Linked DNA regions of Coturnix japonica. The protein of the gene in region 1 interacts with the protein of each later gene in a pairwise test. Links are inferred from orthologs where the notes say so. Each region holds a gene or a part of one and is shown in the gene's direction. Other genes may lie near its edges.

Region 1 (10,614 bases):
GTAATGATACTGATTGTTGCTATTACTCCTTTGCTTGATTCTGCAAGCTGTGACGTCCCATGGTAATCTAGAATATCTCCTGCATGTCAGGACTGGGGGCAGACAGGTTATTTCCAAGTCTGTTGTCCACTTCGTTTTGGTTATTTTGGTTGTCAGCACAGAATATGCAATGATTTTGGATTGTGTCCTCTGCAAGTCTCCTGGCTGTGCCTCCTCTAACCTAAGCAAGAGTTGGTGAGCAGCCCTGTGAATGGAGTGAGTGCCAAACCCATCCTTCCTCTGAGGGTTTGTTGTAGCACATTCACTGCTAACTCTGCTCTGCCAGCCCACAGGAGCCAAAGCAACCCATGCAATTCTGCAGCATGATGGAACTGAGTGCATTTCACAGAAGCAGCTCTTTTACAAAGTTTCCCAGATTGTGGAATGATCTCCTTGATATTCAAACCAGGAAGAAGAAAACCTTTGGTAATCAATACCGCTACCAGCATGAATAACGAGGGCTCCTATCTATGAATAATGACTCACTGCAGGTGAATCTGTCTTGTGCATCAAGCAAGGCTTACATTTCTAGTCTTGATCATGGTTGACACCTGGGGCAAAACTTGGCTCATCTTTTTCCATTGAGTTATATTCTCAACAGACACCTTGTAAAGAATTAGAATTGTCTTTTCCTTTTGTGGGTAATGTGAAGCAATTAAAACATCACTCTTCTTTTCCTGGAAAACAGGTCTGTAAGTTTGATGTTCACAACGGCCTCGAAGCAGTAACTGAGTTTTTGACTTTGCTGCTCTAGGACAATAACTTGAGAGTTCTCACAGCAGTTCTGAGCACCAAAATAAAGCATCAAAACTGGCTATCTATGCAAAAAAAAAGTCATTATTTTTTATCCCCCTGTGGTTTTATGAAGTTCTGTATTCTGATATAAAGTCACGTCGGGCTTTCTGTTTGTGATGGAGGGAAAGGCTGTCACTATATGCATTACTTGATAAGATTTAAAGAGTTAAATGTGTACAGAGCGGTCAGTGCTGTGTGGAAGCATTTGTTACAAAGACTGGCTGTATTTTAAGCAGGTGCTGGGTATGTATTAGAAGCATGTACTGGGCAGGAAAATGGACTGGTTGTTAGACAACTGCTTTTCACTCGTTATGTTGATAAATTGCAATCAACCAGGTGTGAAACCAACTCTTCTTATAAACATGCTTTGAATGGCTTTGAAGCTCATCTGCAGGGGTGAAGGGTGCGTGGAGGAGGGCTGCTTCACGAGCAAGGTAAGCGAACATTCACATCAATCGAGTTCTTGTATTACTAAAACCTTTTCAGGGCGTTTTCTGGATGTTCTGAGGAAACTTCACATTGCAGCTGTTGAATCCAGCTGTGAGCAAAAGCTCTTCCAGGTGAAATGCCAGCCAAAGCTTCTCTGTTTTCTGATGGCAGGAACTTGCATGTTAAAGTTCTTCCTTGCTCTGGGCAGCTGAGATGTGGTGTTATCTCTAGTCAGAGCCGATATGAGTATTTCTGAATGTGTCAATTCAGAGTGAATGATAATGTGTTCCAAGTGTTGTGCTATCATCGCTTTATCAGATAAGGACTGCTGTGATTTGTGTAAGAACTTTTGTTTGCTACATAAAAGACAGTCAGGCCTGAGCTATAGGGTGATATGTAGTACTGCATATGAAGAGGGCTAGCAAGTTCAATGCTTTAAACGATCAGTAGATGCTTCCAGTGCTTTGATACCCTTTTAAATAGGGCTTTTTGAGATTCGGGTATCAAAACAATGTGAGAAGTAGAACTCCAGTGTTTGGCTTTGTGCAGTCACAGAAATGTAATGTGCTTTTATTTATGTACACAGGTATCTGCAACTTCCATAGCAGTCGTGATGAGAAGGCAACTTGTAAAGCTCCGTGGAAGCTGTGAGAGCAGGAGAGAATAAGAAGGAAGAATTTTAATAGGTGGAAAACTGACTGGTCTGAACAGCAGGATTGATAAGTAGCATGTATTTGTAGAGACTAGTGTCTGTTACAACCTCTATCATGTTGGTTTCCTCAGCTTTTCCTTTTTCTCCTGCATAAGGGGAATATAAGACACCAAAACTATCTGTCATGTCACATGAAGTTGGATTTTTAAGGTATTCTTTAGAACAGAATTTTTGCTGTTAATTGAGGACTGACCAACTGTTTTCTGCTTAGGAGATATGGAAGTTAGTGTGCATGGGTGCCCACCCACAGTGCAGAAGTTGGGGCCAGCTGTAATCCTGGGTGTATTTCTCACACTTGAGATGCTGGGCTGCAGTGCCTCGGTGTGTGGGTAGGGGTTGCCCTAAGCTTGAAGTTTCAGCTGGAGCCAGGATCTGAAGGCAGGACGTTGCTTCTGTAGAAGGTAGTGTTGTTTCCTTCTATTGCCTGTGTGTGTGATTCTGTGTGATTGCCTAAGATGTGTTGAAGCTGATGCTGTCTTTTCAGCCTATGCTGTTTTGAGCTCTTGTTTGTCATGTTGGCCTGTGTGCAGTGAAATATCTCCAGTCATTGTCATTTCTCATTCTCTCCATACCCCCTGTTATAGTATTTGACCATTCCCATTCTGCATACTTTGCTCCTTAAATCTAATAGGAATTTTTGCTGTGGTTTGTGCCTATTGTCTCTTAGCTTTATTGCATATCTTCAGAAAGCGTTTGTCTTTCTTCTCTCTATCCCATAGTAAGTACCTGCAGACAACTGTAGGGTCTCTCTGCAGCCTTCTCTTTTTCCAAGTGAACTATTTTCTCAGCCTTTCCTTGTGCATCATATACATAAGCCCCAGAGGACAGACCATACCAGCAGTGTCCAAGGCAGGAAGGGTACCAAGTCCCTTGACTTTTTCCATGCCCTTTTTCTAATAGCCTCCTTCTAGTTATTCTGTACAGGGTCTATGTTTTCCTTTGTCTCCCTTCTCCTGCTAATGCGTATACAAAAGCCCTTCATGAAGCTTCTGACAATGAAAAGTGAACTTATGTGTCGGTGGTAGATGAGACAGCAACACCAAATCTACATCTGTTTTCCTTCACGTCTAAGTTGAGAAGGCTCATTTAGTTGAATTGCGGCAGCTGCCACTTCCCACTGCAGTAAACTAGGCTTTCAGAAGACCTCATCTTTGGAATTATAGTTCTGATCTTAGTGTGGATTTTAATAGTCAGTTGAGATGCTTATTAAGTTACAATGCTGTGCATTAGACCCGTCTCGGTACCGCCGTAGAAATCTTGATTGTTTCATTTTTATTAGTTTTGTGATTTAATGAAGTGAAAACATTAAAGCTAAAAGCCAAATGCAAAACAGCCGTATAAAAACCTCCTATAAAACTTGGTAAACTGACAGACATAGCACTAAAAAATACTTTGCGAAGACGCAGCTGCTGTTAAATGCCATTGGTTTTAATAAAGATACAAATGTCATCGTCGGTTATCTTAACAAAGAGACTCTCCTTGTTTCTTCTCATAGGTTCATGATACTCGTTCAGAGAGTGAATGCAGCAGTCTTGTTGTGTGTCACAGTGGTGGCAATGCCTGAAATCCATCTTTTATTGTATCAAAGCACGTGTGTGGTCGTGGACTGTATTAATGTGATGGTACAAACGAAGGGCGGTCACCCCAACCACCCATTGCCCTGTGCCCAGTTGGATGAGGTCTCCGCACTCACACCAGGATGTGATGTAACAGGGTGACCCAGTAACAAGGGAGTTGCTAACGCTGCTGGCACTATGCAACAACACTGGCTTGTGCAGCAAGAAAAACAATAATTAACAAGGAATAATTGCAATCAGAGCACAGGGAGATGGGCTTCTGAAGCTTGAACTATTCTAGTTTAAAAATGCACAATGTATGCATGTATATATTGTACATGTGTTTATATATCTATGAAAGCATCTTAGTTTTCAAGCTCCTATATCAGCACAGCAGTGTTACTAACCACACATCCTTTTTGGTTTATTCTTTTTTTCAGACGTGAAAGACACTTTTGCATAAGATGCTGTTCAGCACGTGGGCCAGGAAGAAACAGCTGCGTTACAACAGGTGTGTGTCATAACTGACGTGGGCAGCGTTTGGCCTTATCTCTGTGATGGGACTTGTATTTTGAAACAGATGAAGATGTATTGGGTTCCTGATTGGCTCTGGATTGCAAAGGTGTATCTGCATAGACTGATTAGCTGTGACTAAGAGTTTTACCATAGATCAGGAGTCAAAGGTCTGATTTTTATTGCGGTAAAGAGATGTGTGCTGTCAAAGCTGCTGCTGTTGTCCCTTCATCATGCCTATATATTGCCCCCTGACTACACACTGTAGTTTTGTCTTATGAGATCTTTTTCTTTTGGGTTCCTAATCTTGTTTGTCCCGCTTGTGTGAACACCTGTGTTCTCTTATAGTCCCACAAAGCAGACATCCATGGGTTCCGTGCTGATTGAAATGTGGGTCTGCCGGCCACAAGAGCCAGGAACTGGAATGCAGTTTAGGCTTCACACCTTGTCACAGTACACCTTTACTTAAAGCACTGGGAGTTTTGCCACTGGTTTTTGAAGGCATTCAGATTTGGGGGGATAGAGGTTAAGTTCAGAATTGCTTACCATCCAAACCTTGGTTTCTGTTTATTTGTAGCACTAACACACTGCAGCTTAGTAGGTTGAGCTCTCGTTTCATCAAGGTGCTTGTTGACTTGAGCCTCCTGAAGTAGCTGGAATGCAGAGTTTTGGGGGTACACCCTGTCATCATGAGATGGCCTGGAGCAACAGCAGAGCTACACTCCTGGAGCTGTACTGCAGCAGTAATGCTGTGTCTAGAGGAGCAGGACCTGGCTGGACTGCTCATGCAGAAGGGAATGATGAACCAACTGAGCAGGTGTGAAGGTTTGCATACATTGGGCTGCCTGGCATTCAAGGCCAGGCTGGATGTAGCTCTGGGCAGCCTGGTCTGCTGGTTGCTGACCCTGCACACAGCAGGGGGTTGAACTGGATGATCACTGTGGTCCTTTTCAACCCAGGCCATTCTGTGATAAACGGATTGTCACTCTGATGGTACAGGGTAAACTAAACAATGCCATGAGGGATCTGAAGAGGAGTGGTGTGGTTCTAAACAATGTGGTGGCAGCAGGGAGCTAACAAAAATGACAACTTTTGGAGCTTTGATCTCAGATATGATTGTTTCCAGTCCCTTTATATTCAGCGTTAAGTCAGATGAGAGGGATCTTCCCCGCGTCCTCCCAGCCTCCAGCGGACCCTCCCATCTACAAACCCTGCCAGCTCTCAGCTCCTGACATCCTCCTTTCTGAGCATGCACGGCTGCCGGCGCATGTGCAGCCCATGCGAAGTCTGCAGAGCATGATGGGGCTGCGCTCCTCCCCTGCTGCGTATAAAGGCTCGGGCTGCGGGTCGGGCGCTCCGGCTGCGGGGCGCAATGGAGCAGCTGGGGAAGCGGTCGGGGCCGGCGGCTCGGCTGGACGCCATCCTGCGGCACCTGAACCCGCGGGCAGCCCCTGCTCTCGTATCCTTAATGCGTCGGGTGGGATGTTGGCACTGTGGGGTGGGAGCTGTGTGCTGGCTGTGCGGGTTGGCGCTCCAGGCTGGGATGCAGCAGGGTTGTTGCGTGCCATGGAGCTGTGCTTGGTCTTATGGGCTCAGCAGACGGTGTACTTGAGATATGAATATTCATAAGGTTGGAATCTGCATATTATCTGTATATCGGATATATATACACAGCAGTTTGGGGGGAGATAGCACACAGGCTGTAGAATTAAAGGCCACCTCAAACACGCAGGGAAATGGAAGATTCAGAAGGCAGCCACACAGCTGGTGTTATTTGGATGTTGGACTTCTTAGGTCACGTAGCAGTGGTGCTGGTAGAGCTCCTGGGGATTCTCCCGCTGTAACTGACTCCCAGCATATGGACTGCAGATGAAACTGATGACAAAACCTACTTATACTAGAAGAGCTCGTGCCTTTATGGCACGTGGAAAAGGTTGTGGTGAGCCATGGAGGAAGGTCTTCAATCTCTATAAAGCTCAGGAGTCTCCCAGTTGGACCAGCACATAGAGATCCACTTGATAATATTCCTTTTTGTTGTCCTTTCCCCTGCGTCAAGTTTCAGTACCATTGTGCAAAGCTGTTGTGAGTGTTCATTACCAAGTGATGCTTCATTGTTCTATGGATGAGGTTGTACTGTCTCTACATAAGGGAATGCAGGTTTTCTTCTGTCTGTGCTTTCCCTGTGAGGTTTGGAGGGATCTGCTCTCTGCAGTAACTGGAGGCAGAGCAGGTTTGTGCCACCGCTGTGTGAATGTGAAGTCCCAGGTTCATCTCATTTGAATTCTGGCTCTGAATTTGGCACAGCAGCAATTGGAGGGGAGAGATTGAAAAGCACCTGCAGGGGACAGCACAGGCTTTGGGTAGGTTTGACTGTTCTCTGGAGCATAGGGAGACCAGGCAAGTAAACATCTCCAATGAGCGTCTCCTTAAATATCTTCATGTTCTTGGAGATAAACCCTTTGAAGTCTCGGGCATTGTACTGACTTTCCTATATGTGTGGACAAGGCGCATGCTTTTATTGTGAACCATACTGTAGGATTCAGGATGTGTAGCTGTTCTACTCTTTTGTGCTGCAGTTCCTTGATTTTCATTCCAGACATTCGTTCCTACTTCAGCACAAGTTAGTGCTGTTCATCAGCCGGGGAAGTTTCGGTAAGTTATAACCTCATTTATAGAGAGGAAAAGCCAAACTAACAAAGCACAGAACCTGCCATGGGGAGGATTTATCACTGTTTTCCTTCAGGCATTGGGTGGGGGTCTGGTGCTGCTGTTGTACCTGCTGTGCACTAACGTGTTTCCCTTGTGTTTCCCAGCTTTACTCTGGACAACAATATCTTGACTACAGAACAAAGGCAGTTCTATGAAGACAACGGTTATCTGCTCATTAGGAAGCTTGTTTCAGATGAAGACATTGAGCGTTTCAGGTACAGGATGCTTTACCTAAGGTGCTTGTGGGTCTTATGTACAGCAGTATCCTGGGGAAGCTTTAGGAAGCTACATGAAGTTGGGCTTTAACTGAATGCGTGTGCGTGGTGTTGCTGGATTCAGTGTGTTTGAGGAGGGTCGTTTGGCCAAAAATAGAGAAAATAGACCATCTTCTTATTCCCTGTCCTTTTCAGGAAGGAGTTTGTGAGGATCTGTAAGAAAGAGGTGAGAGTTCCCGGAGCCATGATTATGAAAAATGAGGCCCTGAGATCCCAGTACGGCCAGACTGAAAGCGTCGTTAACAAAGTGCAGGACTTCCAGGAGAACGAGGAGTTGTTCAGATACTGTACTCTGCCACAGGTAACAAAGAACCAGCTTAAATTAAAACAGAACGGTTGTGGAAAAGTATATACGAATTAATTGGGGTTTTAATGCCTACCTGAAGAAACTATTTTGGTTGTGCTGAAGCCATATCCATTATCCTTAAAGCCTCTGCATGTCACTCCCATAAACGTATTAATGAGGGAAGATACTAAACCATCCTCTGTTCATTCTGCATGAACATGGGATGGATGGAGGCCTGGAGGGGAAACTTAAAGCAAAGTTCATCAGCTCCTGTGGTGGGTGACCCACCTGCTGTGCCCTCATCCTCAGCAATTTCATCTCTCATGTTTCTGATAATTTTTTTTCTGATGTCATCTTCCCTGTAGATCCTCAAATACGTTGAGTGCTTCACTGGGCCCAACATAATGGCAATGCACACCATGCTCATCAATAAACTTCCAGATTCTGGTAAGGAGATCTTGGGAAAGATAAGTACAGAAATTAATGTGCGTATGTTGTTTATCTGGCCAGAACTGAGGCACCTTGTGGTATAGGTTGTTTTCTTTAAATCACGACTTACTGTGATAACATTCATTGTATTTCAGTTTCAGGTGTTTTTTTTTGTTGTTGCTGTTGTCTGTTTCATATAAAGACTGTTATTTTCTTGGCTGCACCACTGATTTTCAGGGTGGGCCAGCGAGCTCCCTATTCAGCCAGCTGCACTTGCACAAAGGCTCGTTGTTGGAAACATGACATGCTTTTAAGCTTGACTTTTCAAAGGTGTTGAAAATAAGTGTTTCTGTGGACGTCGGTGAAAGGCAATAAATACAGAGATCATCCTTTGCTCGGAGTTTATATGCTCCTGACCTCACTGTCAGTTGGTGCACGCCCAGTGGTTCTATATGAAGGTATTTGAACGTGTGCTAAAGGAAGGATTTTGAAGCCTGGCTTTGGCTGCTGCTGGAAATTCAAATCATTACTGATACGAGAGCGATGAATAGGAAGATGTTCTGGCTTTGTCTGTCCAAGGTGTAAACTCCATGGCAAAATAAATCATCTAATATGTAAAAGGTTTTGGTGTGGAAGAGGATGATATGGATACGGTTCCATTTCCATAGTGGGAAGAGAAGTAGCAATCAAATTTTCAGTAATGTTTTTTGGTCTAGGCTTCAGGGGGAAAATAAATCTTTAGGAAGAAGGTTAGTAGAGTGCTGGGTAGACTTTGTGAGGAGATTTAAAACAAGAAGAGAGAAGACTGAATAAACATCTGTTGGCGCAGCTCAGGGGGGGGTGATTCTGCTTACAACACAGCAGTAGATCAAATGGCTTCTGGATAAGCCTTTCCAGTGCTGCTGTTGAAAGTCTTTGTACTGGGAGAGGTTACGCAATACTGTGTAGGTTAAACGTTCACAGATTGGACAGCAGCCATGAAAGGCAAAAGCGTGGAGAGTGGATGGTGGAGGCCACCAAAGGAGGAGTCTTCTGAAGGGTCACACAGCCAGGCAGCCTCCTGGCACATGCTGTATTCTCATGCCGTTGCTGACGTAAGTGCATGGATTTGCTTTTGGTCTTGGACTCTAGGGATGAGAGCACAAGCTAACCCATTTCATTTCCAAATCAGTGGTGGTCTGGAGCATATGTAAAATCAGCAAAGCCTTCATGCTTGCAAGCAGTGTCTTCTTTAGACAGGATATGAGTGCAGTGTCTTCATAGGAAGGAAGAGACCATGCCTTATTTGTTAAGTTGAAGATTTTGGCCTTGTGTTGCAGATAAACAGACTTTTCTCCACCCCATGCATCAGGACTTGCACTATTTCCCATTCCGGCCGGCAGACCGCATCGTGTGCTCCTGGACTGCCATGCAGAGGGCTGATGAGAACAACGGGTGCCTCGTTGTCCTGCCAGGGACACACACGTTGCCCCTGAGGCCTCACGGATATCCAGAGTGGGAGGTAGGGTTGCATGGAGGCACTGTGTGTGTTGGGACCGCGCTGCAGCTGGGGAGGGTTCACAGGGAGAGGTGGTGAGCATGTCAGAGCTGAGGCTTCCAACCATGGCTTTTCTGCCTGTCCAAACACTCACTGTTGCTTTCTGGCAGAGCTGCTTAGTTTACTTCACTCCATATAACTTAGCAGCGGCTCTCCTGAACCTGGGCAGATTTGCTCTTGTACCCAACTTCACCTAAAGCCCTGTCGAGTGAGGTTACTTTGTTTCTTCATCAAGAAATGCCTGGTTAATCATGGAGAAATGTTGGCCTGCTCTCCAGAATACTCTCCAAAATTTGAACCTGGGTGTTGGAGGGGATCCTTTTCTGGAGCTGAATTGCAACACCTAGTTCAGGGCCAGGACCTCAGGTTTCTGAATAGTCTGGCATATTGTTGCATGACTGCATGAATACATGCAACCATTTTCCAGTGTCCTTGCCAAGTCTGAGGACTCCCTTCTCCTGTGAATTAATTCCTGCTTGGTGAGCACGTGTGCTTTGCTGTAGGAGAGAAACAGAAAACAAACAGCTGGCTGGAGTGAAATATCTGGTGTTATCTTCATCTGAAGAACAGATGCTACCTCACCTGGCCCAGCACAGATGATGGTTTTACAGGGAGCAGAAAGCCGGACTCCAAAGGTGCTCTTCTCTGTTCTCTCCAGCAGAGAAATTCTTGGTTGTCAGCATAGAGCTTCAGAAAACAGAAGCAGTGTTAACCTGCTGTACCTCAGACTTGTAGTAGGATGACTGGTTGGCAAGCAGGCGGGCTCTTAGTTGAACATACTGAGTGGACTGCCCAGAAGCTCACAGATCAGGAGCCTCCCTGCTTTTCTTTCACTGGAAATCTGCACTTGCTCCATCTTTAACTGAGTTATTTTAACTCAGCTTTTTATTTTATGTTATTTTATTTTTCCTAGGGTAAAACAAACAAATTGTTTCACGGGATACTTGATTACAACGAGAAGAGTCCCAAGGTTCACCTTGTCATGGAGAAGGGAGACACGGTGTTCTTCCATCCCCTGCTCATTCACGGCTCTGGGATAAACAAGACATCAGGTTTCCGAAAGGTAAAAAACCAACTAATGCTCTGTTTATGTATATTTAAACTGATCAAAAGGATACTTCACCTCTCCCCCTAGCAAGCTCATGAACATTTGGGTTAGAATCATAGAAGCAAAGACTCGTTAAGCACATCAGCTACCGGGAGTCTCATCTGCTGGCTCTCTCCAATGCAGCGGAGCTGTAACTTTGTTTAGTTTCCCACAGAAGCACAGGAGCTTTGTTGTTACTCTGCATTTGGTACTAACTAATGAGTTCTTGGAGTTCCCTGAACAGAGC
Region 2 (10,347 bases), on another chromosome or scaffold:
GTACTGTGTCCAGGTTTGGGGCCCTCAGCACAAGGAAGATGTGGAGCTGTCAGAGCAGGTCCAGAGGAGGGCCTTGAAAATGACCAGAGGGCTGGTGCCCCACTCCTATGAAGTGCTGGCTGAGGGAGCCAGGCTTGTTCAGCACGGAGAAGAGAAGGCTCCCAGGAAACCTCATTGGAGTTCTCCAGTACTTGATGGGAGCTTATAAGCAGGAGGGGGACTGAATTTTTATACAGTCTGATTGTGATAGGGCAAGGGGGGATGGCTCTACGCTAAAAGGGGAGATTTGGGTTAGATGTTAGGAAGTAATTCTTCACTTGGTGGATGGTGAGGCACTGGAACAAGTTACCCAGAGAAGCTGTGTATACCCCATCCCTGGGGGCATTTAAGACCAGGTTGGATGGGGCCCTGAGCAGCCTGGTCCAGAGGATGGTGCTAACCTTACCCATGGCAGGAAGGGTGGAACTTGACCATCTTTAAGATCCCTTCTAAGTTAAGCTATTCTATGACCTTAGAGACAGGGACTCCGCCACTTCCCTGAACAGCCTGTTCCAATGTTGTCTCTGTGAAGGAATTTTTCCCCAGCATCCATTCTAACATCCATTCTAACCATCCCCTGGTGCAACTTGAGATGGTTTCCTCATGTTCTATTACTTTTCACCTGTGAAAAAAGACCGACACTTTCCACTCTGCAACATGGAGCAACGTAGCACTGCGCATTATTAATGTTTGTGTCCTACCAATAGGTCCATCTGCTTTGTGCATTATAGTGGATCTTGTTGGGATAAAATCAACTTCCTGGCATGGATCCTGTTCCTGTATTGTTTATTTCCATTACTTCTGTAAGACAAGGATAAATTCTGGAATAGTTAGGAGAAATTAGTCACCTTTGGGAGCTCTGTTTGCGTCGATAGGTTCCCATTTTCAGTGAGATATGCCTGGCATTTGCTTCTGCTGATAAGGAATGGGTAAATGGGGTGGGAAGATGACGAGCAAACGAAAGACTAATTTAAAGGGGGAAGTTAATATTTGCTAATCTGCAATATACAGTAGGTTATTGTTTCTTGCTCTGGTCAGAACGACAATGAATGTTTTCCTAAATAAAGTAGTTTTCCACAAAATGCAGAATCGGTGTTAATCCATTCAGCACTGCTCTTACATCACCTTACAGGAAGCAAGAACAATGTGCCTCTGTTGTTCTCTAGAACAGCCCATGTTTGTCAAGCACAGAAGGAAGTCCCAGACTGAAAGGAGACGGAAGCAGCATGCTATTCTACTTAGTGCTATGACTCGTGAGGCCTGTGTCATTATTAGTGCCATGTCCATTCCAAACACAAGACAGGTCTTCTGTAGATTTGGCTGGATGTGATGTTGAGCCGTAAAAAGAAACGAAAAAACAAGTAATAAAAAAGGAAAAATAACCTGGAATAACCCACACAAATCTTCAGCATACCTTGTTCACTTGTTTCTCAAGCACTGTCGAATTTACATCTCTAGTACCAGATGGTTTACACCCGATTACAGTTCAGTATCACCCTGTTCCTGTTGTGCTTTTTCTAATGACAAAAACTTGCAGCAAGCAGCGTTAGCTGCAAATCTGTTGGAATAATTCCATCTCTTCCTTGTAGGTTTTCAAAGCAATACATCACTGTCCTTTTGCTTTAACCATAATTAGAATTCTAACAGCCAGGAATTTTTCATTCTTATTAGTTGAAAATGCAATTTGTGTTGGGTGACAAACACTGTGTTGCAGATGCTAAAGACTTGATTAAGCCACTCAAAATGAGATCGAGACCAAAAGAGGTAGTTTCATTTTAAGCATTCTGATTTAGAGATATGAAATTTGAAGCATTTATGTCAAAATTATAACTTTTTTTTAATGTATTACAGCCATGAGTGTCCAGTAGAGGGAGAAAAGTGACTCAGTGATGCATTTTCAATTTTCTTGGTTGTATTGGAGATTGATGGAATGGACTAAAATATATTCCTATGGGAGTCTGTGGGAGTAAAGTTCAGTATGTTTCAATTATGGGTGTAAAGAAAACCATCCACGAACTTAAAGAACCTTGCAGACATAAAGATCCAAATGAGATCTCAGAAGTACACGTACTGTTCCTTTTCCCATGAGCGCTAGAAGGTAACTTGCACAAAAATAGAAATGGTTAAACTGAAATAAACAACAGCTTATTTCAAAAATTAAACTGGGTAGGCAGCTGTAGACAATCAGACGTAGCCTATATGTTCAGTACTAAGAAGGCAAGAAGGCAGTGTTTTGTTATGGGAGGGTCGACTGCCAATCTTTAAAAGAAAGTAAGTCTATGATTGAGATAAGCATTTAATGCACCAAGTAAGCACTGGGGGCAGGTAAATAGTCTGGTGTTCGATCTGATCATGTAACAGTAATAGCATGGGCTATTACTATATTACCATAATTCACTTACTGAATTATGACACGGTGCACAGAAATGGCAATCAGCAGAACCTACAACTCTCACACTTCTTTCTGAATCTTATATTTCTTCCTCTGCTACAGTGTGTTGTTTTTTTTCCTCCTCTCACTTCTTCTGTCCTTTTTAACTTCCAGAAATGTCTCAGCTTTCCCATCTGACCCCGTGAGCTTTTTCCCTTTGCATTCATTCCTGCAGCTTCCTTGGTTACTTCCAGTTGTTTATTTTCACTCTTGCCGGCTTTCCAGTCTCGGGATGCTAAATGCTTCCCTTAAAGCTTCGACTCATGCAGCCTAATGACTGTATGGAAATTTCAGCTGGGAAAACCTCTTCATTCCTTTCAGTCAGTAAACATTCACTGTCAAAGAGTAAAATATTGATGGCATTAAGCCTAATGCATGACTCAATAACTAGAAAAGAGCTTACTGCATTCCCCAGCGTTTTAAGCTGTTTATCCTTAAGCCTAAAGGAACAGCTCACAGTCTACTTTCTGTGATAGAAAGGCTCATTTTGCAATGTTTTATTATTGTTGTTGTTGTTGTTGTTGTTGTTGTTGTTGTTGTTGTTGTTATTATTATTAATGCCTGCAGTATTCTCTTGCTGATAACAGATTCTTTAAGGATTTGTGTATGTAGAAGTGCTTGCCACCAGCTCAGCTCATGCCTAAACTGGCTGTCAGACAAGCAAGCTGAGGGAATGACGTGCATGTGTCTATGGCAGAACAGAGATCAGTGCTCTGAAAAGGAGGAGAACTGGATGCAGGGATCCAGTCAGCATCTTGACCGCATGTTCCAATGCCAATAAGGTGCGTAGGGTGATGAGCTGAGCTCGAAGAAGTGACTGCAGTATAAACAGAGCCTATACTTTGCATACTGAGAGGGTGGGGAATCAATTCATTGAAGTGATGCTTTGTGAGCAAAATACTCGCAGTGGAGGGCTGTTGGTGGAGCACGGCTGCCATCTAACGGGGCGTTGTGGCTACACGGGCTTTGTGCTAGACAGGGGGGTTGGAACTACATGATCCTTGAGGTCCCTTCCAACCCGGGTCATTCTGTGATTCTGTGATTCTGTGTTGGGAGGAGCCGGCCGGTAGCACAGCTGGTTTCTATGCTGCTATGAAACGCTACTGTTACCGGCTGTCCTTTGTCCCTCTGGGATTTACTCACATGCCCTGGACCCTAGGCGGAAATACTCGCGTTTCCCTACTCTCTCTGCTCGTAAAATAGCTTTTCAGAATCACAGAATTATCAAGGTTGGAAAACACCTAGAAAATCATCTAGTCCAACCATTACAAATACTTCCCAGCTAAATCATATTCCTCAACACAACATCCAGACTTTTCTTGAACACTCCCATGGTCGGTGACTCCACCACCTCCCTGGGCAGTGCATTCCAATGCCTGACTGCCCTTTCTGAGAAGTAATACTTCCTAATGTCCAGCCTGAATCTCCCCTGGCACAGCTTTTTTATTATTTATTTATTTATTTATTTATTTATTTATTTATTTCTCTAGTTGTTACCGTATCTTCCTTTCAATCTCGATACACAAATACTTCTGTTAGGAAGTGAAACAAAACGGCTATTTCTAAAGGCCATCGAAGCGTGAATGCACAAGCTTGTCTGTGGGGAAATAAACGGTATGGGGAACTAGTCTTTCTCATAACGTTCTGTCTGCTCCTTGGCCATCGATGTCTACAAACACCCTATTAACACGTCCTCAAAACAAAGCATTCTCCTGTCCCATGGTCAAGAAGGACCTCTGTCGGTGAACCCCGAAACTATGTGCCCGCTATGCTGCCAGCGCCAAAGATGGCGGCACCGCCTCAGCGTGGCGGGCGGGACTCTTCCGACGCAGCTCAGCGGTGCCGCCTCCCAAGCTCGGGCCGGGCCGGGCCGGGGCCATGGGCACGGCGGGCGGCGGCGTGCTGAGGCTGCCGGGGCTGCACGGCTACGCGGCCGAGTTCTCGCCATACTGGCCAGGCCGTGTGGCCTGCGCCGCTGCGCAGTACTACGGCATCGCAGGTGATGTACTTGAGGCAAACGGGCCGACTGATGGTATTTTCTCCCTGTGACATAGTGTAGCGCTGCCCTTGTGTTGGGTGCTCGGCCGGCCCGGTGGGGGTGCAGAACAGGCTGCCTCGGGGTTGGAGGAATTTGCATTTCCACTCTATTTTCACAGAGTGGAAATAAATACAAACAAAAGCTACATCTGCTGTGTTACTGAAGAGGTAGAAAGGAGCTGGTCCTGGTATACCTATAACACAGGGCCAATGCTTGTGTGTGGGGGTGCACTTAGGGCTGACAGTAGCAGGACACGGGGAAATGGTTTTAAGTTGAAAGAGGGAAGATTTAGGTTGGATGTTAGGGGGAAGTTCTTCACTAGGAGAGTGGTTAGGCTCTGGAACAGGCTGCCCAGGGAGGTTGTGGATGCCCCGTCCTTGGAGGTGTTCAAGACCAGGTTGGACAGGGCCCTGGGCAACCTGATCTAGTAAAGGTGTATGTTTGGTGGCCCTGCCAGGCAGGGGGGTTGGAACTACATGATCCTTGAGGTCCCTTCCAACCCGGGTCATTCTGTGATTCTGTGACTTCTGTGCAGGAGGTGCTGCTTTTCCAGCCTCAACCACAGGTGTACTGGGGGAGGAGAACTTGATGTAAATGAAATCCTGTTTTGGAGAGCAGAAGAGGCAACAGGCTGTTGCACAACTAACTGTGTGGCCTCTTAAAGAAGTTTAGCTTCCTTACGCTCACAGGAGCTATCACAGAACTTGTAGGACCTTTGGTGTGAGCAAGGAGTTGTGATGTTTGGTTATACTGTGCTGTTTTAGGTTGTGGAACTCTGGCAGTGCTGGAACAAAATGAAACTGGGATTGTCCTGCTCAGGAGGTAATGCTGTAAATATTCTCTGTTGTGAAAATAAGGTGTAAACCTGTATTGTTGTTTGTAGAAAACCCATCCCGAACATTTTGGTGTATTGTTATCAATGTAAACTGTTGTATCTGTACTATATTGTCTGCTGTACACATATATTTTTATCGAGGTGCAAATGATTGGCTTACATTCCACGTCTCATTACAAAAAGTAATTCAGATGACACCTTTTCCATAGTGTAAGCCGTTTTATGGAAAACTGGCAGTGTAAATTAAAAGCTCTGACCCAGCTTGACATTGGAAGTTTGGTTGTTATTGCAGGTGTCACCTCTGTTTATCCCTTTAAGGTTGGCTTAGATTGAAAATAGAGCAGGAAGCTGGGATAAGTCAAGGAAGTCCTTTCTTGGAGATGGAATGCTCCAAGAGAGGAGTTTGGTCCATGTTCTGGGTGGGAGAAGGGGAGGGGTTAGTGCTTAGCCTCTATTCACCTAATTATGCAAACAACAGTTGTTTAGATTAAGAAGGGAAATGAGATATAAGTATTAAGCAAGAAATTAGAAAAATCTGATAAGCTGTTTTTAATTCATAATTATCCACCTGACTCTCTGAAACTGTTAAACACGCTCTTCATTCTACAAAGTGTTCTGTTCATTTCTGTGTTTCTAGAGACTCCACTTATTCTGTGGTGGAAAGTCCTGTGCTTTCCTGAGCACCGAGCTATGCCATTTTCCCCATAGAAGCTTTCTGTGTGTGTGCCTTTCTCTTCATAATTACTGCAGTGTGCTATGAAGCTTAATCTGAGCTGAGTTAAACCTTCAGTGAGAGGGGGGTAAATAGGTCGTATTTACTATGAGATAACAGTGTGGTTATTAATAGGTGTTGCAGAGCAACCAGCACACGGTACTTGATCCTGGAGGATGAATGGGTGGTGTGCTGAAAGCCCTTTTTAGGAGTTACAGAGATCTTTAATATTTTCATGACTGCTCTTCTCTTGGTTTTTCATTGTCACTCAGATTCTTAATGGTGTTGTGGATTGAATAGAGACCTCCCAACATGGTTTTATTTCTTTGATTACCACAGTTATTGTGGACTGCAGGCTCTGACCACTGTAGCAGCAGCATCCTGGAGAGATGGTAGGTTAGTCTGAGATGTGTAGCACCTCTCATCTGACTTCTCAGCAGTTTAGAACTGAAGTCAGATTCCATTCTCTGTGTCTGAGGTCCTTGGCTCACTTACACTTTAATTGACCTACTCTGACCGTAGTCAACCTATTCTTGTAGAAGTTAACATTGTATCCAGTAAGTTGCTTATGAGGAGATTCACTGGAAACTGAAATGGGTAAATAAGCTGTTCAGAATGGTAAGCAGGTTGATTATAAAAAGCTACTGTCTTTGCACACAGCTAGTCCGGATTTGTGTTATGCTTTCCCATGGACAAATATCTTCATTGTTTCTGTTCAGCTTTGACTGGAATGACGGCCTGTTTGATGTGACATGGAGTGAGAATAATGAGCACGTGTTGATCACTTCTAGCGGGGATGGGTCTCTGCAGATCTGGGATATAGCGAAGCCCAAAGGTCCACTGCAAGTCTATAAGGAGCACACTCAGGAGGTAAATCCAGCAAACTGCAGGAATTTGCTGGACTGTCTAATACTTGAATTACTAAAGGGGATATTTGAGCACTCAAAATCAAAAGTGTTTTCTGTCATCTATTTTTTTTTAACTTTGTTTGGGCCAATGATTTGAATTTAAAGCTTCATGTTATTTTCAGTATAAAGTTAATATATTATACATATTCATTTGCACATTCACACTCGTGTCGTAGGTAACTCTTAGTCTGATAAATGTAATAAATTCAGAAATAGAGTCTGTGGTTCCTTCTAAACTAAGTAACCATTGAGTTGTATGAAAGTCATTCTGTAGCCTTAGAGGACATTGTTGGATAGGCCAAAGTCAGGCAGCTGATGCATATAGCTGAGTTATCCTTGAGGGTACAGAATGATAGAAATTATATCAATCCTGAGGACTTTTGCATCTGCTTGTCCTTTTCCATTCTGGCATCTCTGAGTTCTTGCTCAGATCAACAATGGTCAGATATTGGGACAGCATGTATTTTTTTTTATTATATTTTTTATGCCTTGGTTTGATGCAACTGATTTCAATTTGCTTAATGCCTCAGTTTCTTTTACTGTATGTTATTGGCAGTGAAAAAGCTACACTCATTCTCATGTTCATACATCTGCACATTTTAAGGGGCTTTTATGCCTCACCATACTTATCTTCCTCTAAGTGATTTTTTTATTATTATTATTTTTTACCCTGTTTTTCCTCACGCTTTTCTTCTAACTTTATACTCTTAGAAGTCTTAGGACTTCAGATGTGATCAGTCTTAGCTTGGATTAGTAACACTTTATCTTAGTGAAATAAATGTGAATGAAATAAGTTAGTGTGTATGTAGTCAACAATTAACTGTGGGTATTCAGTTTTGTTTTCAGTTTTTCAGTTATTTTTCTGGTATTTTTCAGGTATTCAGTTCATCCATTCTTTTCAGATACTGAACACAAGACTATATCAGTCTTATGTTTTTTTCTTTGTAATTTTGCCACTTTGGCTTAATACATATACTGTGTAAATAAGGAATTTTGAGATATGTGTGGTTGTAATCAGGATTATATGTCAGTGTTCAAAGACTGATAGAAAGATGTAGGCAAGGCATAATACCAAATTATCTTTTGTCTCCATCTCTTTGGAATTCTGTCCATAGGATTATTTTGGTTCTGCTACACCATCTGTTGTTTGTGAAGTGAGAATTTCTGTGTCCAAGTCCTGGTTTAGCAGGGAGCATGGGGGGTGGATGCATTCAACTGTGAGTTGGAAAGACAGTGTAGGACGCATGGGCTAAGTGTTTACTTTGAGATATCAGGGTTCTGTATTGATTCTTTGTAAGTGTACGTTAAAAGGATAGATCTCAGTGGGAATATAACTAATAAGCTGTGGTAAACACTGAGAGACAGTGCTCTTTAAAGTCATTGATCACTTCTTAATCTGTAATCCATCTGATGTTTGTAATGATGGTTTTGTCACTGATTTTTGTAGTATTTCCAATGATGGGGACCAGTTTCTTGTTTTCTAAATGAGATTGTTCTCCCCCTCAAAAATAACATAATTTAAAAGCACATCTTTCTTATTTAAGGGCAGTGAGTTTTATTCCAGCACCAACCAACTGCTGATTCTTGGGAATAAAATTGTCTGATTTACTTTGGTTTTGATGAGGTGTCACTGGAATGTGAGACAGTACTTAAATGCAAAGACTCACTTTACAGGACATATTTACTTAATTTTGAGCTACATTTTGGTTTCACTTCTTTCCTTCATCTTGTTTTCATCTTACCTGGGACATTTCTTATTACAGTGTTCAAACATAAATTCATTAATGTTCTATGATTGAAGATGAGCAGTTAAAGTTTGTGCTGTGTTATGAGCTCTTCTCAGTTGCTCAGTGCAGTTTATTTTGAAAGTTCTGTAAATTTATGTTGGATGATAGCATGAAATGTAAGAAGTATAAAAGTGGTCCTTGTTTGGTTCTCTGGCACTTTCTTCTTCTCATTCTCTTCCTATTACATGGACCTGTTGCATGCCAAATGAAAACAGCTCTTGCTTTTTCTACGCCTGTTGTCTGTTTGGCTTGTAATCCTTGCCTGGAGGAGAGTTTGTCCGGGTATCATTATCTGTTGTGCAGCCACAGCTGTGTCTGCCGTATGTGTTCAGGTCACTGTCATAACATGTCTTCAACTGATCTGCATGCTGATGCCCTTTAGCTGAGCTGACACAGGTACATATTTCTCAGGTATGCTTTTCTTTCTTGGAGATTCTGGCTGTGTATATGGCAGCACAACATTTGGAGTGAGCAGAATTCCTAGGGCTATTGCATGAATGACGCATACTGTGTAGCACCGTAAAATGACAGTAGGAGTTACATGCAATACCATCGTCCGGATTCATGGGGAAGGAGAGAAAGCTGTGTTAGCAAGGAGCTCAGGAGCCATGTGGGAGAACTGTGATGTCCTCTGTTCTTAAAACATGAGCGTGACTTGTTTGCTTGTGTTATTGTTATTTTAATAGGAGAAGACAGGCTGAAAAAGGAACTGTGATACTGGTAGTAAGCTTACAAAGGTAGAATAGCCAAGAGGAGAAAGGCACAGTTCGGAAGAACAAACAGAAGAATTACTGTTCAGTTTATTATTTGGCTTTTGTCAAATAGTGTGTGGTTATCTTGTACATTTAGGTTATAACCTCCTCACACAAGAGAGCTTGCACGAAGTGGTGCCAGAGCAATAAGCCTTTCATATATGGAAACAGAATATTGTGCAGTAAAGAGGGAAGATTGCAGGTGATGGGTTCTTTTTTATGGACAATGATTGCCATCAACTTTTGGGAAATATGCAAATAGATTAATGCCAGTCAATTTAAGCCGGATCCAGCAGAATCTGAAATAGCTTGGAGGAAGGCAAGTGCCCAGAAGTAGCTGAATGATACCTTGATTTCCTTTTTCATAATGTAAATATTGGAATAAAATTGGATCTGGGATCAGTTTAAATTATGTTGGTTTTTTTTTTCTTCTTCTTTCCTATCTCCATCTGGAAACATCTACTCTTTGTTTTTGGATACCTTTCTGAGTCTGTGTGTGCCTTTAATGCCAAACGGAGAGATTAAATTTAATTTTTGCTCAGGTAAATGGCACTATTGGCAGCTCTGTGAAGTTTGACCAGCATGGCTTTTTAGCTGATTGTGATATAATCTACAAATCCAAGTGTAATTAATGGAACTAGAATTAACGTATTTATGTATAATGTAATTAACAGTTAACTAGAATCTCAGCCCTACAATGCTTTTTCTAAACTGCGCTATTGTTTTGTTTATAGGCATATAGTGTTGACTGGAGCCAAACCAGAGGAGAGCAGCTAGTGGTGTCTGGTTCATGGGATCAAACAGCCAAGCTGGTATGTTGGTTTTTGTTGAAGGTACAAATGCAA

The links.
Region 2: the proteins of PHYH (region 1) and PEX7 interact in a two-hybrid assay, tested with the Homo sapiens proteins (2 studies listed by BioGRID, with this or other methods). The link is inferred for Coturnix japonica from reciprocal best matches to the Homo sapiens genes PHYH and PEX7.

The regions. Positions count from the first base shown.
Region 1 is NC_029516.1:6,011,991-6,022,604, reverse strand, and holds the start of PHYH (phytanoyl-CoA dioxygenase, peroxisomal), read left to right. Parts: upstream 1-5,354; 5' UTR 5,355-5,416; coding exon 5,417-5,503; intron 5,504-6,640; coding exon 6,641-6,696; intron 6,697-6,857; coding exon 6,858-6,968; intron 6,969-7,163; coding exon 7,164-7,329; intron 7,330-7,679; coding exon 7,680-7,761; intron 7,762-9,062; coding exon 9,063-9,244; intron 9,245-10,193; coding exon 10,194-10,343; intron 10,344-10,614. UniProt on the Homo sapiens protein: Catalyzes the 2-hydroxylation of not only racemic phytanoyl-CoA and the isomers of 3-methylhexadecanoyl-CoA, but also a variety of other mono-branched 3-methylacyl-CoA esters (with a chain length of at least seven carbon atoms) and straight-chain acyl-CoA esters (with a chain length longer than four carbon atoms).
Region 2 is NC_029518.1:49,690,263-49,700,609, reverse strand, and holds the start of PEX7 (peroxisomal biogenesis factor 7), read left to right. Parts: upstream 1-4,217; 5' UTR 4,218-4,227; coding exon 4,228-4,469; intron 4,470-5,272; coding exon of another isoform or gene 5,273-5,330; intron 5,331-6,774; coding exon 6,775-6,925; intron 6,926-10,236; coding exon 10,237-10,314; intron 10,315-10,347. UniProt on the Homo sapiens protein: Receptor required for the peroxisomal import of proteins containing a C-terminal PTS2-type peroxisomal targeting signal. Specifically binds to cargo proteins containing a PTS2 peroxisomal targeting signal in the cytosol.